Cricetulus griseus: one gene and its partners. The protein of the gene in region 7 interacts with the protein of the main gene of each other region in a pairwise test. Links are inferred from orthologs where the notes say so. Each region holds a gene or a part of one and is shown on either strand. Other genes may lie near its edges. The genes, in order: Syndig1, Tmem11, Smim14, Synpr, Rprm, Emd and Fate1.

Region 1 (4,033 bases), on a different chromosome or scaffold from region 7:
AATAAAAAGTCTACAATTAGAAAATACTTAAATGTTATAGAAAATGTTAGTGCTAGAGGAGCATGAGATGAAGCTTTTGTGTGTATATCCATATGTGTATATGTCTCCATATGTGTGTGTATGTGTGTGAACGCTGGAGCTTCCTCCATCATTCTCCACCTTAGTTTTTTGAGACAGGGTCTCTCACTGAAACTGAAGCTTACTTATTCAGTGAGACTGTCTAGCCAGCAAGCTCCAGAGACCCTCCTGTCTCTGCCCCCATAGTGCTGGAATTAAATGTGCTGTACCACCACACTTAGCATTTTTTTCTTTTATTTGGGTTCTTGGGATCGAACTCAGGTCCTCATGCTTGCACAGCAAGCAATTTTCTAATTGTGCCATCTCCTCAGCCCATACAAGATGCTATTATTTATATAATGGCTATTAACATGCAATCTGCAGAAATGCTAGCATTACATTTCCTAGAACTTTAAGCTCTGGTCTCTTTGGTTCTTCCTTTGTCTCCCTCCTTCCTCCTTCTCTTTCTTTCTACATTGTGCAAGCCTAGATAAAATTTTCTAAGGGCAAACAATTTGGAGTCAGTCATTATTTATGAGTGCAGTGCTCATCCTACTAGGTACACAGGAGTGCACTGGTATATTCATGACTTATGTCCTCAGTGTGGAACTGTGTCCACAGTGTGGCACAGTCTTCCTGTCATTAATTTTTTGTCTGTGCAGAGTGTGGTTTTAAAGTGTCTTCCCTTGGTGTGTTCTCCTGCTTGAATGAATGGTTGTATACTTGGAATAATCGATCCCCACTACAGACATACAATTCTATTTCTCTGTAGACCATTGGGATGCTAATGCGATTGAGTTTCTCAGTTTCAGGATGTCTGTTGTCAGACAGAGGCTTCTGTAGGACTGCAGTAGATCCAGTTCCTGCAGCTTCCCCCATTTGGAAACAAAGACTTCATAGGGATGCAGGCAATCGATTTCTGGCTTCATCTGGATGGCGCACTAATGGGCCCTTTGAAAATTCACAGAATGGGATGGACTGTATTTATCTGACTCCATAGCTACTATGCATGCCAGATGACTAGTAAGCTCTGATGCAATGTGTGTCTGTGTGATGAGCTTTGCATAATTTTTACCTTCTCTGTTTCCTGCTCCTCCAGGGAAATGGGTCCTATGGGGCTTGTGTGACCAGTGAGCGCAGCCTGCTAGCCTGACACCCAGCAGGAGGGAGTCTACCATGGATGGCATCATTGAGCAGAAGAGTGTTCTGGTACACAGTAAGATCAGTGATGCTGGCAAAAGAAATGGCTTAATTAACACCAGAAACTTCATGGCTGAGAGCAGGGATGGCCTGGTGTCTGTTTACCCAGCACCTCAGTACCAGAGCCATAGGCTGGTGGCCAGTGCAACACCAAGCAGCCTGGAAGGAGGCAGAAGTGAGCCAGTGCAGCAGCTGCTGGACCCAAACACACTGCAGCAGTCTGTGGAGTCCCACTATCGTCCCAACATCATCCTCTACTCAGATGGGGTGCTCCGCTCCTGGGGGGATGGCATGGCCACTGACTGCTGTGAGACCACCTTCATTGAGGACCGATCGCCCACCAAAGACAGCCTGGAGTACCCCGATGGGAAATTCATCGACCTCTCAGCTGATGACATCAAGATCCACACCCTGTCCTATGATGTGGAGGAGGAAGAAGAGTTACAGGAGCTGGAGGTCAGAGGATGTGCTTGTTAAAGACCTTCTGGGATGGGGGCAATGGGATTTGAGGGATACCTGTGAGTGCTCAGCAAAAGTCAGGGAGTGAAATTGCCATGCAAAAATACAGAAGGCCTTATGGAGCATTTGTGAGGGATGGAAGGAATGGAAAAAGACTGGGAGCTGTACAGTGATCCCGGCCAAAGGTGACTATAGAGGGAAATTACCAATATGGAGTCAGGTAGAAATACAAGGGTATTTAATAGGGAAAAGCCTTACTTACAGAGCAACCTAGCCAGCCGGTGTGGCAGCAGTCTGTCCAGCAAGTACAAAAGTGAAACCGAAAGAGAAACGCAGTCCCCTGAAAGTCTCACCCTGACCACGTCCTCACAAGCATGGTCAGGCACACCTGTAGCCAGCCCCTAAGTAGGCGTGGCTACAGCTTCCCCTACAGGTGACCCCTAGAATTAGCCCTGTATGTGGGGCACAGACATCAACACTGCATGGCAGGGCAGTTGGGGATACTGCCACTGAATAACCTACAAGAAAGAGGGATACATGAGGCTAGAGACATATGGTGTGGGAACAATTGCTGTCATAGCTGGCTGTTTCAGAATAAACAATAGAAATTTAAAGGGGGAGATAAGGGAATTAAACCTGGGATTTATCAAATCGTGGGAAAGCACTGGTCCAGTGAACTGTGTTCCTGAACCCAACATGCCTTACCTCTTTAGTCGTTGAGGCAAGTGAGGGCCTTTGAATTGCACACAGAGAGACACATAAGCAGGACTCTGTGAGATAGGGCACAGTGATTGCCATCCATGTGATGTGGGAGTCATTGAGAGGCCACTGCAATGCAGGAAGAGCACAGAGGGTGTTCTACTGGGCCTTGAGTACAGTGCTCAGGAAGGGAGCCTGTGAGGGCCACCACAGGTCGCTGAAGAGCCCCCTCCATAAGCAGAGACATTTAACCATCTTATGCCTCCAGTGGGAAGAGAAGGGCATGAGGCCAGCCAGAGCCCAAGGGACGCTAGATGCTGGGTGCTTTGGCTTCTGTGCTAATGCCTCTGGCAACTATCTGCTGTTTTCCAAAGTCTCAGGGTTTGGCCAAGAGTAAGTGTCTGAATCTGCCTGTCCTGTATGAACCAGCAAAGCAAGCACAAGTGCAGTGTGAAGTGGACACAGAAATTCTGTTGAAGGAGTGGCTTGTTGGCTGTGAAAACAGTCCTCAAAGAGAAACGTAGATCTGACATTGTGTTTTGAGTGGGAAGTTGTCAGAGGAAGCCCTCCTGAGCAGCAAGCAGGGTCCTACCACCCAGAACCTTAATCATCTAAGGGAGCCTGAACGCAGGAAAGTCACACACTAAGCTATAAGACAGAAGGGCAAGTTGACAAGCTGGAGCTTCCAGGGAGTTAAAGCCCATCTGTACCTTTCATGTCTCTTGGCTTCTGTGCTGTGCCACATCCTGTGGGCCAACCTGCTAGATTCCAATTGAAAAAGTGTGGAGTAACTGAGAATCAGAACCTTCTAGTGTTTAATCCGCAAAACAGCACAGACCGAGTAGGACACCACATGGAGGAACTGAGGCCTATAGGCTGCAGGCTTTGACGTCTGCCTTTGGCTGGAGTAGACAACCATGGAAGAGTTCAGGCAGGAAGGCTGTGACAATGTGATGGATAGCTTTGTGTCAACCTGACACAAGCTGAAATCATCTGAGAGCAGGGAACCTCAATTAACAAAGTGCCACCAGAAGATCAGGCTGTAGGCAGGCCTGTAAGGCACTTTCTTAATTAGTGATTGATGGGGGAAGGCCAGCTCATTATGGATAGTGCCAGTCCTGGGCTGGTGGTCCTGAGTTCCATAAGAAGGTAGGCTAAACAACCATGAGGAACAAACCAGTAAGCAGCATCCTCTGTGGCCTCTGCATCAGCTCTGCCTTCAGGTTCTTGCCTTGCCTAACTTCCTGCCCTCACTACTATAAACTTTTTTTTTTGATTCTTGTAGATTTCATATCAAAATCCCACTCACCTCCCCACCCCCTTGCCTCTACCTTCTGCCCCTGTGACATGATACCCCCCAACAAAACAAAACAAAAATCTTGGTGTGGAAGCTGTACTGTGGCCCAGTGAGTCACACTGGATACCCCTTAATCCATACGTCTTTACTTGTAAGTGTTCTTTGTAATGCTCGTTGGTTTGACCTCTGGCTTCTGCTATCCTATTGATACTGGGCCCTTGCTGGGACTCCTCCTGGATATCCTGTTGTTGTCCTGTGTCATGGAGACCCTGGAGCTTTGAATCTGCAGTTCTGGCCCCTTCACATACCCCAGCCATTCAT
Region 2 (4,084 bases), on a different chromosome or scaffold from region 7:
ACTTAAGAAGCAGGCAGAGCAAGAACCAATGCACACTAAGTTGACAATCAGCATTACGCAAGGCAATAAATACAACATATGCTCCAGAGTATGCAGCCACTGCCAATATGATGTCTGTTCAAAGCAATGCCCACTCCAGCCCTTGCCACAAACTACCCTGCATCTCCATCAGTTTCAGCATAGGGCAGGCAGCAAGGTGTGAGCAACTCTGAAGTACTCTTAACATGAAGCTGAAATTTGAGTCAGTCCAAATGTGACATGGAACAAAGTCACTTAGGAGCCATAAACAGCTTACTTATGTCATGAGAGCCAATAATACACTCAGTCCTCATAATCTATGGTGCTGAGTATACAATTATTCTGACCTGCTCCACCCAGTCAGGCCACCAAGTGAGCTGGAATGGAGGTGTGCCCAGAAGTCAGCTTGCTAGTCAGGTGGGGTTGTTTCCATACACTGCTCAGAGTGGGAGGGCCTTAAGGAGATGGGATCCTGAGACTGAGTCCTTTGGCAAGGACTTTCCCACAAAGGCAAATAGAGGGGAAGCCTCCAGTCACTACATATTATCTAGGAGAGCAGATGGCAACTCTCAAATCACAAAATCTGACACCCCATTCCTGGTAGATACACAACATCTGCACACATGGGTAGAAACTGCAGTTCCTGACCAAAGGTCATAACCTGAACACCTACAGGCCCCATACAGATAACCTCAATTAGTTGTCAGGTGAGGAACTAAAGAGAAGCTGTTCTGAAGAGTGTCAACTACTATCTAGTTTTACCTCAAAATCTTTCTGCATTTCATTTAAATTCCCTTAAAAGCTGTTGAAGCTCAATCAAGGACTGACTGACAAACTATTTTTGACTAATATTAGTTTCAAGACAAAGGAAAAATAGTTCTCTGTATCTATTTTCTTAGGAAGGCTACAGTGTAAGGCTCTTGTCCCATGCCTGAGGCATCCATGTTTGGCCCTTTCAGTCTGTATCCAAGAATAAGCGTATCCTAGAGCACCCAGGCGGTGGAGACCCACGCCTGGCCCAGCACTTGGGAGGCAGAGGCAGGAGGATCTCTGTGGGTTTGAGACCAGCCTGGTCTATGAGAGCTAGTTCCAGGACAGCCTCCAAAGCCACAGAGAAACCTTGTCTCAGGGGGAAAAAAAGCAACAACAACAAAAAGAGTATCCTAGAGCTTGGTGACTCACACTTTTAATCCAGCACTTGGGAGGCAGAGGCAGAGGCAGAGGCAGAGGCAGAGGCAGGCTGATCTCTGTGAATTCAAGCAAAACTTCAACTAGAGTGAGTTCCAGGACAGCCAGCGCTACACAGTGAGACCCTGCCTCTAAAAAACAACAGGAGTAGTAAAAGTGTCTTTGTCCGACACTGGGTCTTCTAGGAAGGTTCTTTCCTGTTACTAAGGGGCTGAAATTAAAAGTCTGAAAGCATCCCTTAAGGTGTTAAGGACATGGAAAACAACAAAATAACCTCTTTTGATGTTCTTATCTAAGAAATAAGTGAAAGTTAGAAAAACTACTCTTTGCCATTGCTTTTCCATGGAACAGTAAATGCACAATAGATTATTTTGCCTAACTGAAATCAAGAATAAAACCAAGGCTATCACTACTGCCAAGCAGGAAGAATTGTGTGGGATGGGAAAGTTCTCTAAGCAAAAGCAAGGTACATGGGATGCATCAGACAAAAAAGAACAATGCAGATTAGTGAAGACAGAACTTTTATGTTTGACAGTACTCATCGGAAAAGAAAAAAAAAAAAAGCCCAACTTTCTTTTCTACTGACATCTACAGTAAAATGCAGAGGCCTTTGCAAAACGGACTGAGCAGCTTAATCCAGTAGTTCTACCGATATACACCCATCTCCCCAAACTTCTAACGACTGAACAGTTTCTAGTAACCTACTAGCTAATAACACTTCCCAGAAGGAAAAGCCTACAAAAGTTCAACATGAAACACGCCAACTACTCTCATCTTCGGAAATCACTGGAAGAAACAAACCCCTAGCGCCCCCAAACGCATTCTGTTGAAAAGGTCACTTTAAAGGACTTAGGGCAGAAGCGCTTGCAGCGAACCCTCTAAGAGTGGCGATGACTGCCGCTCAGAAGGCGTCCAAGCACAGGCTCTTGGAGGTGCGCCCGGCACGCTGCTGCTCTCAGCAAACGCCCCTAGAAGCACACCGCTCTACCCTCCTCCTCTTCCAAGAGTCCATCCACGCCACGTCCGGCGCCCAGGCCCAGACAGCCACGTGCGCGAGCCAGCGACCCAGGGCCCGCACGCCGCTCCGCAGGACAGCTTGGCGGCCCTCGCAGTCGCTCACCCCGGTTCACAGACCGCCTAGTGCGGGCCGCTACCCCTCCTAGTCGAGCTCCCGGCGCTCCTCGGCCGTCGCGCCGGCCCGCTCCTCCCACACCAGAGCCCCGAAGACTGGGCCCCGCGTGCGGCAGGACACGACCCCGAGTCGCGCGTGGCACAGAGGCTTCGCCGACTCTAAGGTCGGTGGCTGCCTGCAGTCGCGAGCCCAGCTCACCTCTCTCGGGAGCCACCGCCGCCCGGACCCAGACGCCTCCTTCCCCACGCGGCCATCTTGGAGACTCTCGGCTCGTCGGGGGCTGGCGCCGAAGCGGCTCGGGGTGCGCGCGGGCCGAAGGGAAACGTAGTCCGGTGAGCCGTTCGTACGCAGTGGGAGGTTGCGAGCGGACTACAACGCCCACAATGCCGCACACCGGAAGCCTGCTGTAAACTGCCGCGCGCAAGAGGGCAAAAGGTGGGCTCCGCCTGAGGAAAGAGTCTCCGAGTCGCTGTGTGCGAGTTGCTGCGCCCACCGCCTGGACGTCCTTGGGCGCCCAGAGCGAATGGCTGAAGGAGAGCGGAATGAAAGCGCCTACCACTCCCAGAGCGCTTCGCGCGGCGACCCCGCCCTCAGGGCCTGAGAAGCCCAACCCTTGGCTTCAGCCCTCTTGCCCTTCACTGTGGCCTCGGCCGCTGGGGGCCTGCGTTTCAACTGTCCCACACTTTACAATGACTTGAGCAGCTTAACCTCCTCCGTTTCTCTCTTCTTATCTGCAGTCTAGAACTCGTGCTCCCCCAGTTTGAAGGTTACCTCTGCTTCCGCAGTGTCAACTGCCCCTCTCTCCTGACCAGAGCTTGCCAGCCTGGCAAATTCAGAGATTTTGAGGGTCTGTAGATGTGCTTGACCCAAAATGCCTTTTCCTCCCAGCCAGTTTTTATGCTTCAAGACCTCGGGTCTGTGTGGTTTCTAGGAAGTTCCTGGTTTTCAAATTGAATGCTGCAACCCTGCCTCCAAGTGCCAAACTGTAGCACAGTGCAAGTGTGGCAGAAAATTAGGAACGTGTAGCAAAAGATATCAAGAATAAGGTATGAGGGACTGCAGAGACGGTTCAACAGTTAGGGTACTGACAACTCTTCCAGGAGACTCAGGATCCATTCCTGGCACATGGCAGCTAACAATAGTCTGTTAATCCAGTAATATCCAAGGCCCTCTTGTGGCCTCATGAGCACTGCACACACGAGGTACACAAATACACAGGTAAAGCACCCAGACGCATTAGAAAAAGAAAAAAGACAAAAAGAATAAGGTATGAAAAAGCCAGTTGATAATTGCCTGGAAACCCTTCCCCGCCTGGGCTACTCAAACAAACTTGGCCTAGAGAAGGCAGGTGGTATGGAAATGGCCTATAAAGGGTTCATGAGATTATGGCTAAGGACTTGAGTTTATGAGTCTTAACCAGATCACTAGCCTATTCCCAAGCTCCTGAGTATCTTTGTAAATTTTTTAATGAATTGCTTCTATTATCTCGGATACAATTCTTTGTCCTGAGATACAAGAACCTAGAAACCTAAGTAGGTGACCCTGTGACTCATCCAGGAGGTAAATCTGTGCTATTTTTTATTTCCCATTTTCCCCTTCCTTATTTATACTATCTTTCACTTTCCCAGGAGCATTTCAAAGTGGTAGGAAAGCCCTCAGCTCTCGAGAAACCCTGATAATAGTGCAGGGGCATGCTCCCTTTCCCAGCATCCTTCAGTTTTCTATGGTTTTGCCACCTATGGTGAT
Region 3 (3,500 bases), on a different chromosome or scaffold from region 7:
GAGGATCCTGAGTTTGTGGCCAGCTTGAGCTACAAAATGAGATCAGGGCTATCTGGGCCATATAGTGAGACTTTATCTCAAAAACAGAAAGAGAGAGGGAGAGTAAAGAATTGAGCTCTTAGGACTGCTGGGAAGACTTTATTTAATTACCCTGGCATGCTCTGTAAGGGTGAACAGCATTTCTACTGCAGTTTGGTTTTTTCTGTCCTTGCTTAGGATACAGAAACTATTGTTCCTAAGACAAGTAAGGCCCAGGGGGTGTGTCATCTGTGATGGCTTCTAAGTCAGGTTAAGTTGGATTTCTTTATCTCTAAACGTTGGAGAAACTGCTCCCTGACTCAAAAATAATAAAGATGTACACACAATGTAAGAAAAAAGGATAAGAAAGAAATATCTCATAAATGCAAGCTTTTTATGCACATTCCCCTTTCCAAGTAAAGTCTGCAGTACATTAAAGCTTTCTTTCCTTCCTTCCTTCCTCTTTCCCTCTCTCCCTTCTTAAGACAGACAGGGTCACATCATGCAGACTAGGCTGACCTTGAATTCAGAGACCAACTCTAGCTGACTCCAGGTGTTGGGATTAAAGGGTACACCTGCAATGAAAGCCTGTGTGTGCCAATGAAGCCATTCTTAGCTAACTCAAAATAGTGTGAATCTGCATCTGCTGTTCTACTGAAAGCTCCATGGTGCAGCCCAGTTCTCACTGAATACTTGCTTTCCTCTAATAAGTTCTAACATTAACAACAAAAGGCCTCAAAAAAAAAGCAGGTGTGTACCACCACACCCTGTTTATGAGGTACTGAGGAACCAATGCATGGCCTCATGCATGCCAGGCAAGCAGTTGACCAACCGAACCACATCCCCAGCCTGAAAAGTTTTTTGTTTATTATTTTTTTTTTCTGGATGCTGTGTCATTTTGTAGACACCCACCCCCCCTCCCCGAAATAGGATCTCAGTTTATAGTACAAGGTGGCCTAGAACTCACTAGGTAGGCTAGGCAGGCCTTGAATTTGTGGTAATCCTCCTGACCCACTCTCTCAAGTACAGGGGTTACAGATGAACCACACCAAGCTGTTTGTTTTGTATGTTTATCTCCAGGAAGGACAATTGGGAACTGAAAATTTTATTATGACTACACTGAAAGAATTCAGTGCAAGAATTAAGTCTTCCTGGGAGCTGGAGAGATGGCTCAGGGGTTAAGAGCACTGACTGCTCTTCCAGAGGTCCTGAGTTCAATTCCCAGCAACCACATGGTGGCTTACTACCATCTGGCATAAGGCATAAGATCTGGTGCCTTTTTTTGGTGTGCAGATAAACATGGAAACAGAATGTTATATACATAATAAATAAAATCTTTAAAAAAAAAAAGAATTAAGTCTTCCTTTGGATAAACAAACACCCCCATGCTACCCAGAAAAGATAAGTCATGATAAGTCATTCTTACACTGTGAGGACTTGATGGCTTCCCGGGGAGGCTGGAGCCTCTCAGATTAGGAGGCCTCAGTAAGAACAGGAGCACTGCAATCACCATCCAGGCCATCAGGATCACAGTAATGCTGACGCCACTGTCACTGGAGGGTCCTGGCACTGAAGACAAACAAGAGGAGCATGTGTAGCAAAACTGCACCCTGACCATAATATCGTGACATAAAGGTAAAAATTCTAATGTTTAAAAATCATATTGAGAAAAGCACTAATAACTTAGGGTATAGCTATAAACTAGTATGTTTAAATTTCCCTTTCCCTGAAGTGAAGAAATCTATAAGGTATAACTTACATTAGTCACAAACCAAATTACAGTAAAGACTTTGACTAGTCCAATAGTTCTTTACAATTTTATTTACTTTATATCATGGGTATGTGTGTATGTCTGTGTGTGGAGATGAGCATTGTGTACACAGATGCAGTGGAATCCAAACGAGTTGGGTTCCCAGAGCTGGAGCAATAAGCAGAGCCATCTGACATAGGTGCCTGGAACAGAACTCTGGTCCTCTGCAAGAGTATGCAGTGTGTGCCCTTAACCTGCCCAGCCGACACTCCATGGGCTACACACATGAACAGCTTTGCATTGATTGCAGAAGGTTCGTGGATTCTAGAAACCACAAATCTAAAGAAGCCAGATTAAGAATACCTATGGAGCTAGGGGGTGCTGATACATGCCTCTAATCCCAGCACTCCAGAGGCAGAGGCAGGCGATTTCTTTTTTTTCTCCCCCCCCCCCAACACACAGGGTATTTCTGTGGCTTGAGGCTGTCCTGGAACTAACTCATGTAGATCAAGCATGGCAGGTGATATCTATGAGTTCGAGACCAGCCTGGTCTATTCAGCGACTTGCAGGACAATGAGGACTACACAGAGAAACCCCATCTCAAAAACAATTATTCTTTATTTGTGTGTGGAGCACACATATGAGGGTGAGAGGGTGACTTTCAGGATCTGGTTCTGTCTTTCCTCCATGTGAGTCCCGGGGATTGAACTCAGGACACAATCCTTTATATCAGCTGAGCCATGGTACTTGAACTTTGTTGGGTCCTATTTTTCTTACACAGGGTCTATCCATCATCCATTATCATTAGGTCTCCAGGGTAGCCTGGGATGCCTCACATTCCTGATTTTCCTTTCCTTAACTCTCAGACAAGTATGAGTCATCACACCAGTAACAGGAACCTCTCTGCTCACCAGCCTAGCAGTAACCACTGCCTATGGATCTGACTCTGACCATGCGGGCTTGACCTTTGCTGGTGTGATCTGGCCCTACTTATCTAATCTTATTTTTTCTAGTTACTACATATTTTTGAGCCAATGTTTTCCGGGCCTGGCAGTACATCAGTAAGGCCTGTGACCCATGTCACAGATTCTGAGGCCCTGTGTCAGACCATCTGATTCAGGAGCAGCATACGGGTGTGGTCGAACATTTTTAAAAAAACCTTCCGAAATGAATATGATGTAATAGTAATTCAATACTACTCTGGCAGGGAACTATGCACACCCAGTCTTTCCAAAGCATCCCATATCCTCCACCCTGTCTGGCACGCATTCACATTCACTACCTCCCTCTTCCCTATAACAATCCCATTCTTTCTGCCACTGTCCTGCTGCCTTCTCCAAAGTATCATGGCATTTCTTAATCCAAGGAATGGCTTCCCAGTTTTCCTAATTAGGTGATCAAATTGCTGTTGCGGTCTTCCCAAGCTGGGGATCAAACCCAGGGCCTTGGATGCGCTGAGCAACTACTCAGCTCCAGTTGTTACCTAGGTCGTTAACTTTTTAGGAGCTGAGACCATCTTGTGGCTACTTGATTACTATCTTTTAGCTATTGAATCTTGGTGCCTTGGTTTCTTTATTTGTGAATGGTAAACAACTCCATCACCTCATAGGGTAGCAGTGAGCACAGACTGAAATAGGTAGGCCAAAAAAACAGAATGGTCAGCTACATAGTAGGTATTGGACAAACATCCACAATTGGACCAATCACAGTTCAGTAAAATGTAGATTCTGGT
Region 4 (3,500 bases), on a different chromosome or scaffold from region 7:
GTCACTGGGCACTGTGCCACCAGGCTCTGATCAGAGCATTTCTTCTGTATCCTTGAAACTTTGCCATGGTAAAGGGCTCTGCCCTTATCATTCACCCAAAGGAATGTGCTTTTGACCAATGAGATATAACTCTGGGTAATGTGGTCCTTAATCAGCATTTTCCACAGATTGGGCAGCATGCTAAGTGTTTTTTCCATGCATTATCTTCTCTCAGCAGTCTCAGAGTCTGCTGCCTCTTGCATAATTGTCTACAGTTTTCTGATGGTGGCATGGAGATTTGATGGTGGCATGAGCTGGTTTGTTGTTCGTAAAGGATTTACTACACTGTCACCTAGTGGAACCAGACCCCTCCTTGGAGACTATTCCAGCAGTGTGCCTTCAGCTCTTTTGAGTACTAACAGTATTAGGAGAGTTTGGCTTCAGTTCTACCATTAGTGTAGTTAAATCCAGAAACCTTTTCCAGGATCTTTAAAATCATCTTCCAGCATCTGTAATGTCCTGATACCTCACCTTATTTTAGGGCTACTGTGAAGTTACAATGGCAAAGAAAATAATTTTATTACCACAGTAGAAAATATTTATTGTTTCTTGACCAATTTCTTTGCAGAGATCACAGAGCATAGTATGTGTAGGGCATGGTTCCTTCTTCAGAACTTGCACTTGACCAGCAGGGTGAGTTCTGTGAGCCATGTTTTGAATATACAATTCCTAAAGCCTATAGTTATAGTTGATGAGACTGAGAAGGATACCTGTCCCTGAAAGGGCCAATGGGATGCTCTCAACCAGACATTCAGACATTTGTAACGGGATCTGAGTGATATCAGTTCAGTCTAAGTGCCCCTCCCTTAACAACACTTATTTATTATTTCTCTGAGTGTGTGTGTGTGTGTGTGTGTGTGTGTGTGTGCATGCATGCATGTGGAAGTCAGATGACAACTTTGTGGAGTCTGTTCTCTTCATCCTTTTTTCGAATTCTGGGGATAAGGTTACCAAACTTGGTCAGTGAGCACCTGTACCCACTGAGCCTTTGGGTTGGCCAAAGCTGTTTCTTTGAAAGGAAAGACACAATTAGAAACTGAAGGTACCTACCTTCTCCCATATGTTCAAGAAAAAATTAAAATTCTATTTAGAAAAGGAATTTAATATAACAGTGTCTTTCAACAGGTGCACACCCAAGGGTAAGTGGTAGAGAATGGGAAAGATACAGTCTCTGGACTATCTTCCAGCTTACAGCCATAGACTCTACTCTAGGGGAACACTTCTAGTTTTTCTCATTATTTTTGGGTTTCGCTGCCTGAAACACAATTTTAAATCAAAAACCTGAGTTGACTGATTAATATCCTTCCTCCTGTGATAGTAATACACAATTCATTTCCTTGCAGTGTGAAGTTTTAGTCCAATAGCTTGAGGTCTGCCCTGGAACTTTTCTACTGAAGGAGAAAAATGGGAGGGTAGGTAAAATTTCCACTACTCAGCAACTCAGAGAGACAGTATTTTAGTTTTCTGACATCAGGAGTTGAGGACCTGCTCTAGCTTCTTCCACTCTCATGTCTTCAGATCTCAGCAGGTTCATGGTATCTTTCCAGAAACTATCATTTTAATGAAAAAATTGGGATCAGCTTCTATTTACAATGTAGACATCTGAATGAGTACAGACACTAGTTCCAGACAAGGGTCTAAAGAATACTGTAAACTTTGCTTTAATCTATCTGAACAAGCTGTTCTATTAGAACCACCAAAGCCTTGGCTGTCAGGGACACAATGACAACCCTGCAGGCCTTTCCTTCCATATGTTCACATTATTGTTAGGGTTAGGAGAACACATTATTCCTCATCTCTAAGTCCTACCTTCTAGTCTAAACTTTATTAGAACATTAGTGGAATGACAAGGCCAGGTGGGATGTCATAAGTTACTTGGGACATGCATTACCAAGCTAGCAGTTGACAAATATCATTTACTTGATTTGTTAAACATGTCAAGCAATTTTTATTTTCTTAGATTTTGAGATGAGAGTCATAATTATGTCTTTGGCACTGCCTACAAATAAGCTACAGAAATCACTATATATGTTAATGCATACTCACAAGTTGCCACTCACAAGTGTGGCCAGCAATATGTAAGAATGTTTGTGAGATCCAGGGCATAGTGGATTTCCATGGTTGCTATTTCACCAAGACAAGATTTATAGAGAAATCAGGAGGAGTGGAACAACCTTTGCCCTCTTTGTAGCCCCTTTCCCTGACTGAATGTCAGAAAGCCTCAGGGACACAGGTTAATGTTGCAGCCAAGATAACTATACTTCACTTTTGCTGGATGGTGTACTTTTAATGAACACAGCTGAGACTCCCACTCCTCAGTAAATGTTTCTTTTTGTCAACATCCTAGCTCTTTATCAGATGCAGCTTCCTCCTGTGGAGTAGCACAATTGCTTACATGTATAAATTAGAAATACAATTTAGCCTCTCTCCAACTGTTGGCATTCATACTTTCCTGTAAGGCCTATATTCTTGATGACAATATTTGATTTTGTTCAGCCAATTTAGCACATATTTTCTAAGGCTATCGAAGAGCTATACTGAAGAAGGGAGAAGATACAGGATTATTCTAAGTCCTTTTTCAAGCCATGCATTTCCTCTTGCTCCCTACTAAGTCTGCATATTTTTCTCCAACCAATTTGGTATATTCCATGTGTGGCTTTAATAAAATGTTCTCTTCCAGGAAACATGAGTTAACAAATATTCTTTTTAACTTCTGGCAGGCTTCAGCCTTAACATTTAGGCTTTATATCAGCTTTAGCTTAGAATTTTCACTTGACTGTCATCTTAGCCACAGCTGCTAATACCTGCTGGGTTTTTATTAAAAACTGTAATCAGAAACATTACAGTGTGTTGGTTTTGACATTGAAAATCTTGGAGGCTGAAATATCATCTTACCAGTCAGTGAGACTTCCCTCTTTTGATTGGCCTAGTTTTAAAGGCAGAAATGTATACAGTAGCTTTGGGGTGTTTTTCTTAATCACTGACCATCAATTAAGATTTGGGAAGTCAAGCCTGGATGAACAAATACTCACCACGGATGTGTTTAAGCTGGACATGACAGGGCTGTGGACAGCCAAGCATTTGTTGTAGGACTGCTTGCAAGCTGACATCAGTAACAAGACTTCATTTGGATCAGTTGCCACTTTGACATCAGACAGTCCTTTTGCCCAAGCAGAGGAACCAACCAACCACAAGAATGAAAAGACGACAGTGACGATAAAATCCTGCACAGAGAGAAGACAGGAAAAAAAAAAAAACAACAAACAAACAGCAAACAAACAGATGTGAGTTCCAGAAGCAAATCTATTAATTTATGCAAATACCATTTGGTTTTTTGAAAATTCTAAGATCCACAACATTAGGACCTAGAGATACTGTAAAATAAATAAAGTTTGTTGATGTTGTATTTATACTTACATGAGATAAATAATTAAACTGTTATTTAGTTTTGTTTATTGAAA
Region 5 (3,251 bases), on a different chromosome or scaffold from region 7:
TACCTCCTGACTTGGACACAAGGGTTTCTCTGCTCAGTATTTCGAACTTCCTCAGCTACTTTTCTTCAGAACCTGCACTTTTCTTTTTCTGGAGCAGCATCCCTATGCTGTCCTGCTGACGTGGGTCAGGGGAAAGACGCCCTCCCTAAAGGCTAGCTTGGCCGGCTTCTTCTTTCATTAGCGGGGTAGCCTAAGTTCTCCAAGGAGCCTGGTACGGAAGTGTAATCTTCCCGCGGGGACCTCCCTGACATCCGAGACAAAGTGAAATTTGAAGTCGTAAATATGGGAGAAAACAAAGGCCGCTGTTTTCGAGATGGCTTTTGTGCCTGAGGCTTGGTGTGTGCACTCTGTCGGGCCCCTCCTTCCCTCCCTCCGGGGATATAAGGCTCTACGAAGTAGAATCGCAGCTCCGGCAAGGCGAAACCTCCTGGCCAGGACCCAGACTGCACAGCCGACCTTCCTGTCCGCCAGGAGAATAGAATGACTACCAGGAGGCCAGAAACAAAACACTTAAATGTTTCATTTATTAAGGAAATGTTAAATAAGAAAAAAAAAGTCAAACGTTGTCACGGATATCAAGAGCACTTTTGTGGAGTAAACCGTGCATACACGAGCTACAAATTCTACTCTGGATCTTTGTCCCGGGCTTAGCTGGAGCGCCAGCCTCCCAAAGAGACCCAGCTGGAAATGCACTAAAAGAAAGCACTTAACCCCATTCACAGTCTCAGGCTACCCTCCCCCCACCCCTTCTCCCAAGATGACAAAAACTCTAACCCGCAGGCAGGCAAACAGGCCACTAGGGCTTAAAAGACTTATCAAATATTTGTATTCAAGCAAACTAACACAGATCTCTATAAACCACAGGTTACTATTGATCAAAGTTCCACTCTCCCCGCAGGTCGCAAAACCCACACACATCTATGTTCCCATTAGGTCTGCAGTGTGCTGTAGAAACAGGTCAATTTCGTGTCACCCGGCTACTAGTGCCTCTGGATATCCTCCCCACCCCAACTCCCGCCTTTCTCGGCCTCTCCAGATGTCCCCAATGCTGGGCCCACCTGCAGGTGGAAAGGGGCCTTCGCCTGGTCCATCTCCCCGCGTCTCAGGCAAGCAACGGCTCCCAAAGTTCTGCGCCTTAATCACCCTCTTTTGCCACCTGCTGCTGAGTCCCAAAGTCTGGATGCTCCGTCTGAAGGCTTGCTTGGGGCCTTTAGGAGAGCGATCAGAAATGGGTCACTTTTTCCCCAAAGGCAGGAGGCGAGAGAAAAAAATTCTGACTCCGACAGGTTTGCTTTACTCGGTCTCTGATGGTGAGAGGTGCATCACGGCTGGTGGAGTACTGGAGAGGCCAGGAGCACCAGCCGTGGGGGACCAGAGGGCCTCTCAGTAGGGTCCCACGACCACTGCCTCAACCTCTTTAGACGGCCTCCGGTCCTTCACCAGGAAGTTGATCATGCCTTCGGATTTGATGAGCAGGTTGCAGCCAAGGAAGAAGATGCCGAAGACCACGGTGAGCGAAAGCACGCACATAACTGCGATCTGCACCACGCGCATGATATACAGGCTACGCTCGTCGGGGCCACCCTCGGCGAAGCCATCGTCGGTCACCACCGACGCCTGGGTGCAGCAGCGCACGGCGCGCTCCAGAGCCTCGCTGCTGTTGGCCAGGAAGAGACCGGCCACGTCGGTCTGGTTGCCCAGCACTGAATTCATCACGGGAGCAAGCGGGAGCCAGGAAGGCGAGGATCGGAGGGGTGGGGACCGGGAGGCGGTGGCGCCGGAGAAACAGGTGCTGGAAGGAGCGCTGGCTGGCACACTTGTGCGTACGGGGCTCCTCAGCCTCCCTTTCAAAGTCCCTGGGCCGTGAGAGTCTCAGGAACCTCTCCTGGGCGCGCTGCAAGCTGGCTCGTGTGCGCCTTGTGCTGCCCGGGCTTTGCTCGTTCCCGGCAGTGCTCGCTCGACTGGGAGCTCTTGGAACTTGGCGGGTTGGGCCGGAGGGGCCGTGGGAGGCGCGGGCCGCGGCGGTGGCCCGGCGGCTGCTCCAAGCGCACAGCGGCCCCTGCTGGTGGCAGAGCCGCGCTGCGCCCCCCTCGGCCAGGAAGTGGAGGCAAAGAAAAGAGCCGTCCTAGCTGGGTTTGTAGTATCTTCATTTCCTAAGGCCAGGAAGAGGTCACTAAACACTCTTGATGTGATGAACAAGAAAAGGATTTGGGGAGAAAGGCTGAAAGTGGCAGAGAACCTGGGTCACACACGCTCTTGAGAGTGTCCTTCAATGCTGCCCCTCTCACCTTTGATTTGACTTAAAGTGGCCAGGTACCAGATGGCCCTGGCCAAAGCACTGACCCACTGCTTATTCCTGTCTACCTGCTTGTCCGGGAACAAGGGGGGCGGGGCAGGATCTGGGAAGTTATTTCTTTCTCACTTCTTTTTGGAGGTGTGGTGGTGGTATTATTGTTTTAAGGAAGGAAGAACTGATGAAAGCGTCAGAAAGAGTAAAAGAGTTATTACATGCCAACGTAGTGAAGCGGGGTTTGCAGTGAGCTGCAAGGCCAAGGCAAGGGGCAGGACGATGAAGGAGGTGTTCATCTGTGGCTCGTGGGTGAAAGTGCTAGCCAAGAACAGGGTTAACTCTCTGGTAAGGGAGGTGGACAGAGCCATCACTTCACTGCAACTTTAATTGCAGAGGAGTTTTTGGATGAGCTTTCAGCGTTTTTGTCCTTGGCAAAAAATCAGTTGTTTAAGGGAATTGCTTGTCCACATCCACCACCTAGACTGCTAGCCAACAGCTGGAAGCCTCCCACCAGAAGCTGATGCACACCCCCAGCCTTCCTTACTCACTGCAGAGCAAACTGCCGGCTTTTCAGGGAGCTATGGAGGCTCAGTCCTTCGTGACTGCTGTTGGTTCTAAGTTCCAGGGGAGTCTTACAAACTGGCCAGTTCGTATTTTAGGTTCCAGAAGATGCCCAGTTTTCGGCCCCCCTTCCCCTTCTCTCCTTTCCCAGTTCTCTGCTTTCTTTGACCCCTCTCTTTCTATTATAATGACTGGAAACGAGACATTGATGTTCAGTCCAAACTTTTGAAAGAATACTCTTAACTAGTTTCTACTGAGATAGTGGAGTTGCTTTGCTATTCTCTGCTCTATTGGGGATGGGGGTAGGGGTGGGGGTCGGGGGAGGCTCTATAACTAGCTCAGACTGTCCTTGAAGCAGTCATTCCAGGCCTTTTATTTCTGAGTTTGGCATCGATAGACA
Region 6 (4,092 bases), about 2.2 Mb from region 7:
ACCATTCAGCAGAAGAATCAAGATCCCAGAGTCTAAAGAGGCTTTTGCAATAGCCCCAAATTGAGTGATTCATGGAAATATTCTCCACAGGAAGTACCTGGTCATCTAGGTGCTACAAAAGTCTGGCCTCAGACCTCACTCAGGATTTGTCAGAGGTGCCAGAAGGATGTATGCAGGGCATTCTGTAGGTCTCTCGGAAGTTCTTCCTGGGAGGGAGTAGCTATTGGCAGGTGTGGCTATTTGGGAAAAAAAATCTTGGAAATGACCCTTTTTTTTGAGACAGGGTTTCTCTGTGTAGCTTCGTAAACCAGGCTGGTCTCGAACTCACAGAGATCTGCCTGCCTCTGCCTCCTGAGTCCTGGGACTAAAGGCATGGGCCACCACCGCCTGGCTATATGTGACCCATTCTAAGAATAAGAAAATTTTGTGAGTCCTGTAATCCCACTCAGCATTTAGGATTTTGAGTTAGGAGAATTGAAAGTTCAAGGCCTGCATGAGCTACAAGGTGAATTCAAGGCTACCTGGGTAACATAGTGGAGGCTTGGGAGGTAGTTATCTCAGTGGTAGAGTATTTGGCTGGCATGCATTAAATTCTGAATTCAGTCCAGACCCCCCCCCACCAGTTTTAAGGAAAAGTCACCATGAAAACATTTATTCAACACAGGAAGAAAATTTTGTTTGTTTTTTGAGACAGGGTTTCTCTTTGTAGCTCTGGCTGTCCTGGCAGTCACTCTGTAGACCAGGCTGGCCTCAAACTCAGAGATCTGCCTGCCTCTGATTCCTGAGTGCTGGGATTAAAGGCATGAACCACCACCGACCAGCAAGAAAATGTTTTTAATTCATGATTTTTACCAAGGAACAGTTAGTGCTGTGTTAACTAATCTTCATAGTTGATAGACCTGAAAGAAACTGGAATGCCGGGTGTTGGTGGCACACACCATTGGTCCCAGCACTCGGGAGGCAGAGGCAGGTGGATCTCTGTGAGTTCAAGAGCAGCCTGGTCTACAAGAGCTAGTTCAAGGACAGCCTGCAAAGCCACAGAGAAACCATGTCTCCAAAAACCAAAAAAGAAAAAACAAGAAAAGAAAAAGAAATTGGAGACCCTTCTTGGGTTTCTTGGATGTGTATGCATTGGGAGGGGCAGTAAAGAAAGTTCAAATTCAGTTTGTATGTGTGTGGGGGATGTCTTTGAAATGCAGCTCACAGTCACTACCTCCCCCATGCCCCTTCCATCTGCCTACCGGTTGATCTGATTACCATGCCTGTGGGTAAATGGGTTTATCCTCCGGAAAGACAATCATCTCCATGTACTCTAGTGCCACCTCACAAACTTGAAATCAAGCCACTAATTTAGCAATTTATGATAATTCATTGGCTTCCCTAGCAGAGGTCTCCTGCTAGACAGAACAGTGAGGGATCTTGATCTTATTGGGAGGCCAGAATGTGAAATGTCATTGCCAGTGGAGCCAACAAAGGTAGCACTGGATGCATAGTGCCTGGAGGGGACCCCAGCACTTTGCTCTTCAAGTTACACTATAGATTACTAAATTGACTCTGGAGATGTGATCAAACTCCCCCTCACTGCTCTTTCATATTCTTTCTTTTCTCCCTTTTATCTTACTATATAGCATGTGCCACCTTCTCTTTTTGATAATATTGAGTAGGAAAACAAATTAAATAGGCCTGTTATTCCAACATTTATGAAACAGAAATTGGGAGGGGGATTGCCACTTCAAAGCCCAGTCTGGGTGCTACATAGTGATTTCCAGATCAGCCTGAGCTGCAGAGTGAGTCCTAGTCTACACACACACACACACACACACACACACACACACACACACACACATCAGAAAAGGAAAATCTAATTTGCAATTATCTATTTCAATTTCATGTTATGTGCACACTGGCATAATGCAAATGTAGCTCATATTGGGGTTGCAGGTAAAATGAATAACAAAATGTTAAAAATGGCATTGCTTTATGTGTCCTTTCTGTAGGAAATGACATTTGAGTTGAATCTGAAACTACCAGGAAATGGGCACATAGAACAGGAAGAGAGAGCTTGACAATATTAGGTAATGGCTGTGCCTACCAACTTCACAGATATTTGGCACTTTGTACCACACTGCACACCCCCAGGCTTTAAGACTTCACCTGATTGCTTTGAGAATTCAATGTATTTTTGTTGTTTGCTCACAGCCAACAGCTGCACCTAGCAGGAACCAAATCAATGATAGCTAGCTACAAGGGCTTGTTCATTACAGTGCTCAGGGACCCATTGGGGCCTTAGGAACGAACGGTTGGTGCTCACTGCAATTACCTGTTTCATCTCTTCCCATGGAACAAGACCTGACCGGTGTGGCCAAACCAGGCTTGGGCAGAGGCAGAAGGCTGTGACTGTGGGCAATTCCCCTGTATAGGTGGCTTTGGAGCGGGGCCTTCTTTCCAGCCAGTAAGCATTTGGCTCCCTTGTACTCATCTAGCCTATTAAAGGTTGGGCCTAAACACAGGTTTTGCAGACCCCCCCCCCCCCCGGAAGCCTGGCGGCCCTCACGGAGCAGTGAGCTCATTCTGAGGGATGGCGTCGCCTGTCAGCCAGGGCACTTGAGCTCGTGGCGCGCCCCCGCATCCCCTCCCCGCCCCCGGCTCCAGGGCGATTTTACCAATTAAGGCTTTCTTGCCGGGACGGGCTCTGCCGGGCCCCGCGCGGGGCGGACGTGGGGCGGGGATGCAGCCAACAAGAAGGCGGGCAGCAGCGGCTCATTCGCGTGGAGGCGCGCGGCGCGCAGCGGACGCCAGGGGAGTTCTGAGGCCTCTGGCTCGAGCGCAGAGAGCTGGGCGCCACCCCGCGGTTGGAGGGACAGCAGGTGAGGGCTCTGTAATTAGCTCCACACCGGATAGTAGTCAGATAGTGGGTGCGACGCTCGGGAGCTGGGAAAGGTTTGGAAAGCAAGCAGAGAGGCCGAGGCCAGGCAGTTTGGGTGTGGACTCAGGTCCGAGGCATCGTGTTAGTGTCCAGACTTGCATAGTTTACCACAAACTTATGTTTGTGCTCAGGAATCTGTGAGCTCGAGGTCATGGGGGGGGGGTCCCTGAAAGAGGGGCTGGTATCTGAGTGTTTGGCAGGAGATGGGTACAGGCGTGGGTACCCATTAATTGGTCTTTGTGTGACTCTCTGGGGGTGGGAGGGAGGTCTTTTGAGACTAGTATCTTGATTGGGATAAGGGTGAGTGGCAACTTAGAAGGACACTTTTCAGCCAATGGCAAGGGTGGATATGAGTCCACCCTCATATGAATACATATGAGATGATGAGTCCCCTGCTAGTTTGGACATAGGGAGCTGATTTCGGGGCTGTGGTAGGGGTATAGCGAGACAGATTTCCAGCCTGGATCTTGGGTCCTGTCTCAGGTTGGTTCTGAGTATGACGGTCATTGCCAGCCAGAACATAAGCACCAAGGTTCCCAGATCCCAGGAAAGAAAAAGTGGGTGAAACCCACACACAGTCTCTTGCAGCTCCAAGGAGTCTGGCCAAGGTGGAAAGTTCAGGAAATCAATTCTCTATCTTGTCACACCTGAATTTGCCTTACAGGCACTGGTTTTACTTCAGGGATTTTCTGCTTCCTTCCCTCCTGGCGCCCCCTGGCTACACAAGTCTAGAAAAGCTCTTCAGGGTCCTAGTATAGCTGGTGGGCTTGGGTCTATAGTTCCCTATGGGAGGGCCTGGCCTAGGGTCTGATGGTGGGGGTGGGAGAGGTGGGCGGGGTGTGCCTAACATCGAAGAATCTACTCCAAATAAGGGAAAATATGAAAGAGCTGGATTTTGGCTTCCTGGAGCTGCCCCTGGATCTTTGAGATGGAGCGACATCTGGTGGTGGCACTGTGTCCACTCTAAGGCCAAGAACTCTCCCCCCTCCCCCACCCCTACCCCCGAAATAGCCAAATCATAGGGCTGGAAGCTGGGACTCCCAACTTCTGTGTGATCCATTACTATGATTCCGTCTTCCTTGTTTCCTGCCAATTAGTGAACTCAGGTGATCCAGACAAATGGCACACAGTGGAAAATCCATTATTGATTCAATTCCATACATGGG
Region 7 (4,023 bases):
GAGCGTATCTCCAGGCAGAAGGCCCAAGCAGAGGGGTAAAATGACCCAACTGCTACCTGGGGGGCTGCTGGGAGATAGAATGGCGTGGATAAGGGCATCCTTGAAAGCAAAGGGAAGACGAAAGAAAGGAATGGCTCTAATGGGGTTGTGGTGTTTGTGAAACTTTACTGACGCATCCAAAGCCACAGGTTGGCTATGCAGACTGAGACCAGCAAACTAAAGAGCACAGCCTCCTTATGGCGCCACGTGGCATCCTGGTCCTCAAGGGCACGCAGCCGCCCAGAAATCACTTGCATCTGTGGAAGGACCAAACACAGGACTTGTGAGCAGGAATCACTCTTATGAGAAAGGCAAGACATAAGGGTAGGGGGAAAATATGACCAAAACCAAAATGAATCTTTGTTCCCCCTTCCACATCCTTTTCTCTTCCCCAATTCCTGTCCAGCATCTCCAGCATAAAGGAAAGTCAAGGGTGAACATCAACATGAGGTACTCAAGGCATGAGGCCTGAGAAGAACAGAAAGGAGAGCCCAACCTCACTTCATTTGCTACAGGATATGATTTGGACAAAGGCTATGAAAACTCGGGGGTGGCTTTGTTCACAACTGCCAAAATCACCCACTCCAAAGCACTATGATGCTTCCTCCAACTATACAACAGATGCTTACCTGCCTTCTCATGACTTCCATCTCCAGCCCATTGAGTTCTTCCAGGCCAATCTCTGCCACTAAATCTGCCTCCAGACTGTTGGAAGGAAAGGTTACATGGCTCAGAGGTGTTGGTGGCCATAGAAAAGACACAGAGCAATAAGGTATGCCTGAAGGCTTTTTGGATAAAGATCCCAGTCCTTCCCTTGTGTAGTAAAGAAGCCGGAGGCTTTGCCAAAGCATACGTAGATCCCAAATGGCCAGGAGGCAATAGTATCCCAATACTTCAAGTATATACATCTGCTTCTCGACTCGGATGCTCACTAGTCCCTATGGCCCTACCCTCTGCTTGTTCCTCCCCCAGTAGCTAGGAACAAGACAATTGAACTCTTACCGCTCATAAGGGACCCTCCCTGTTTGGAAGTTGCCAGGAAACTCCTGGAGATAGCCATCCACCTGACTGTGATCTCTTGGCATCCGGGGCATCTGCACCTGATGACCCTACAGAAAGAAAGGATACACCATTCCAAGTCACCCTTTTAGCACCGCATTGTGCATGAATCAACAGTACACCCCATAGGAGCCCCATGATGTCATTTCATCTTCCTGTGCCCCCCCCCACACACACACCATGCCTATTGGTAGCTTCTAGCCTTGTGTGCTGTGCCAAGGAAAATGCAGTGACAGGCTTCTCTGTCTTTTGGTAGAACTTTTACATGCAGGCATCCCTTGAAAACCCAAGCTACCTACTGAAGATGAATGTAAACCTTCAAGATGATTTTAAGTAATTTAAAAGAAAACATCATTTCACACCTTGGAAGTTTATAAAGAATTGTATAGTCATCCCTTGGTATCCATGGAGACTGTTTCTAGAATAAACGCCTCACTATGGTTATGCAGCTCTGCAGATTCCCAAGTTGCTTGTGTAAAAGGTCATAATATTAGAATATAGCATAATCATATCTTTTTATATAATTGAAATAATTACTATATTATTTATAATGTCTAATAAAATGTAAATGCCATCTAAGTAATTCTTATACTATATTGTGTAGATAATCATTGCAAGAAAAACATCTTGCATGTATTCTCTAGAGATGTAATCACTCCACCTCCACCCACAGACAGTGTCCATCTGTGATCGATTGAGCCAATGGATGCAAGACCTAGGAATGTAGAGGGTCAACTATAGATGCATTTTCCAGTCAACATGTTTGCTAGGCATGCAGACTTCTAGCATTGAAGTCCCAGCATTATACAGTACAACCCTAACCTTCCAATGATCTACCCTTCATTCATTTGCTTTATTGGTATATGGAAGCTTCCTCCTCCTAATGATCAACTTCTAGCTATATCTACCATGGGAATACAGGAGCCCCAAAGTAAGAACTTCCCACCCTAAACTAGCCACCATTTGTCAATACCCCTTTCTTGGGACGAGGTCCAGTCACATTCCAAAATGACTGGCCTGAACCAGATCCAGCAGGTTTTTGCTCTGCCCTTGGACGTCTTTGGATTCCTCCCAGTGACCGGGACCCACGTTCCATCATTTCTAGAAAGAAGAACAGAGACTGCTATGAATACTGCTTTAAAGGTTTTACCAGAACTTTCTGGGTACTGAAAACAGCAGAAATCACTCAATACCCATTCACTTCTGATGCTCAGCCTATTTGTCCATCTGTTCAACAGGTCAGTATGTATTTACTGAAAATCTGGCCCTGGGCCTAGGATTCTGTAGCATGAGCAATGATCAAGAGATGAAATCCCAAACACAAACCATCTCTATGTATGAGAGAATAGGAAATACCAATAATAAAATCTTCCATCCATGTAAATTCAGATATGTAAATGGTTCATGAATGATTAAAAACCAAAACAAGCTAATATGGCAAAAGAAAAGCATAAATCAACACTGAAATACCTAAAACAAACGAATAACCTTCCAGACTAAGTAAACAGCATGCACAATGACTGGGATGTTGTAGAAGCAGCACAAGTAAACGCACATGATTAACTATACCCAACAGGCTTTTTAGGGGATTCTCACCTGACATCACTGGTTGTTCTTGGCTTTGGTCAAAGTTTCCAGTCCCTAGATCTTCAGAAATGGACATTTTATACCCTTCTTTGACATTGGAAGGGCTTTCTGCCATCACCACCAGGTATTCATTTGTAAGGTTGTTCAGGGTGGATGGCACAGAGAAGACACTTGGAAGCTCGCCTCTTCCAGGGGTAGAAATGTGAGGGAGATATACTGGCACAAGAGGGTGGAGCCAGTTCTCCCTCTCTGTGCTCAGGCCTTGGATTGGCACCTTGAGTTCCCACTGTATCTTGTTGGTGGGTCTCGTGGCCGCCTTCTCTTCTGCTGTGTAAGCAACTTGGAGATGAGATAGTGCTCTAAGTGGTACTGTTTTTGTGAGCTGCCCTGATTCATCTCCCCTTGATTTTGCTACTCACGGGTAGGAGGATCCCATCCTCCATCATGGTCTAGAAAGAGACAAGGGCTGGCATACGGCCCAAGCATCCATAAGTGCCCAAAGCAGTGACAGGTCCCATGCTTATCATGGTTTCTACAAGCCCATGACTGGCCAGTAATCTAGGGTACAGCACTCTATCAGAGGAGCTTCTCTGTACAGAACATCCTGCCTCCTCCAATGCAGAGTCTTCAAGCAAAGTAGATGGCCTTGTCTGATATGAATCCTGGGAAGGAAGCAGGGAGGGGCAAGAGGGACATGCTGGGCTTGTGTACCCTGCTGTATGTTTCAGCTCTGCCTCAGTTTTTCTACAGATTAGACCAGATGTATGTGTCAATTTAGTCAGGTTCTGATCCCCAGTGAGTTTATCAGACACTCAACTCTCAGTATTTCTGCAAAGGTATACTGCAGCTGTGATTATTATCCCTAATGGACTTTAAATAAAATGGCTTCCTCCCAGTCAGGTGCTTGTACTCAACCAATGTGCTGAAAGAATCAAGTGCAAACCTTAAGGAATGGGTCAGTGAGTGGGATGACCCCATGCCCCAAGGTTCCCAGAGAATGAGGGAAACCTGCCACCACAGCCTGCCCTGTCAGGGTGCTGAGAGGCATTGGAACAGCTTCCATAGGCTCACGCCGTCCCGGCGCTCTTGGGCCTTGGACTCAGCACTCCCAAGATGATACAGACAGATCCAGATAAAGAAAAACCTCTAAAGGTTTACACTGCATTTAAAAATATATGTAGGCTTGTGAGAGAAAAAATAACAGGAGGAAATAGAGTAGCTGGGTGTGGTGGCTCACGCCGGTAGGATTTGCTGAAGGAAGCAGAGGCAGGCAGATTTCCACAGAGAAACCCTGTCTCAGAAAAAATAAACGAAAGATAGTAAAAATAAAGTAATAAA

Evidence for each region.
Region 1: the proteins of Fate1 (region 7) and Syndig1 interact in binary tests that used the Homo sapiens proteins (3 or more experiments, as listed by UniProt). The two-hybrid records come from large-scale screens. The link is inferred for Cricetulus griseus from reciprocal best matches to the Homo sapiens genes FATE1 and SYNDIG1.
Region 2: the proteins of Fate1 (region 7) and Tmem11 interact in binary tests that used the Homo sapiens proteins (3 or more experiments, as listed by UniProt). The two-hybrid records come from large-scale screens. The link is inferred for Cricetulus griseus from reciprocal best matches to the Homo sapiens genes FATE1 and TMEM11.
Region 3: the proteins of Fate1 (region 7) and Smim14 interact in binary tests that used the Homo sapiens proteins (3 or more experiments, as listed by UniProt). The two-hybrid records come from large-scale screens. The link is inferred for Cricetulus griseus from reciprocal best matches to the Homo sapiens genes FATE1 and SMIM14.
Region 4: the proteins of Fate1 (region 7) and Synpr interact in binary tests that used the Homo sapiens proteins (3 or more experiments, as listed by UniProt). The link is inferred for Cricetulus griseus from reciprocal best matches to the Homo sapiens genes FATE1 and SYNPR.
Region 5: the proteins of Fate1 (region 7) and Rprm interact in binary tests that used the Homo sapiens proteins (3 or more experiments, as listed by UniProt). The two-hybrid records come from large-scale screens. The link is inferred for Cricetulus griseus from reciprocal best matches to the Homo sapiens genes FATE1 and RPRM.
Region 6: the proteins of Fate1 (region 7) and Emd interact in binary tests that used the Homo sapiens proteins (3 or more experiments, as listed by UniProt). The two-hybrid records come from large-scale screens. The link is inferred for Cricetulus griseus from reciprocal best matches to the Homo sapiens genes FATE1 and EMD.

Annotation. Positions count from the first base shown.
Region 1 is NC_048599.1:29,351,879-29,355,911, reverse strand, and holds the start of Syndig1 (synapse differentiation-inducing gene protein 1), read left to right. Parts: upstream 1-1,233; coding exon 1,234-1,713; intron 1,714-4,033. UniProt on the Homo sapiens protein: May regulate AMPA receptor content at nascent synapses, and have a role in postsynaptic development and maturation.
Region 2 is NC_048600.1:74,863,484-74,867,567, forward strand, and holds the start of Tmem11 (transmembrane protein 11, mitochondrial), read right to left. Parts: upstream 2,801-4,084; 5' UTR 2,593-2,800; coding exon 2,537-2,592; intron 1-2,536. UniProt on the Homo sapiens protein: Plays a role in mitochondrial morphogenesis.
Region 3 is NW_023276807.1:132,496,523-132,500,022, forward strand, and holds part of Smim14 (small integral membrane protein 14), read right to left. Parts: intron 1,588-3,500; coding exon 1,445-1,587; intron 1-1,444.
Region 4 is NW_023276807.1:171,601,859-171,605,358, reverse strand, and holds part of Synpr (synaptoporin), read right to left. Parts: intron 3,264-3,500; coding exon 3,072-3,263; intron 1-3,071. UniProt on the Homo sapiens protein: Intrinsic membrane protein of small synaptic vesicles. Probable vesicular channel protein.
Region 5 is NC_048599.1:120,434,663-120,437,913, reverse strand, and holds Rprm (protein reprimo), read right to left. Parts: upstream 1,975-3,251; 5' UTR 1,714-1,974; coding exon 1,384-1,713; 3' UTR 501-1,383; downstream 1-500. UniProt on the Homo sapiens protein: May be involved in the regulation of p53-dependent G2 arrest of the cell cycle. Seems to induce cell cycle arrest by inhibiting CDK1 activity and nuclear translocation of the CDC2 cyclin B1 complex.
Region 6 is NC_048604.1:1,461,291-1,465,382, forward strand, and holds the start of Emd (emerin), read right to left. Parts: upstream 2,801-4,092; 5' UTR 2,664-2,800; intron 1-2,663. UniProt on the Homo sapiens protein: Stabilizes and promotes the formation of a nuclear actin cortical network. Stimulates actin polymerization in vitro by binding and stabilizing the pointed end of growing filaments. Inhibits beta-catenin activity by preventing its accumulation in the nucleus.
Region 7 is NC_048604.1:3,690,889-3,694,911, forward strand, and holds the start of Fate1 (fetal and adult testis-expressed transcript protein), read right to left. Parts: upstream 2,801-4,023; coding exon 2,695-2,800; intron 2,200-2,694; coding exon 2,072-2,199; intron 1,149-2,071; coding exon 1,042-1,148; intron 745-1,041; coding exon 669-744; intron 297-668; coding exon 165-296; 3' UTR 1-164. UniProt on the Homo sapiens protein: Involved in the regulation of endoplasmic reticulum (ER)-mitochondria coupling. Negatively regulates the ER-mitochondria distance and Ca(2+) transfer from ER to mitochondria possibly implicating it in the regulation of apoptosis.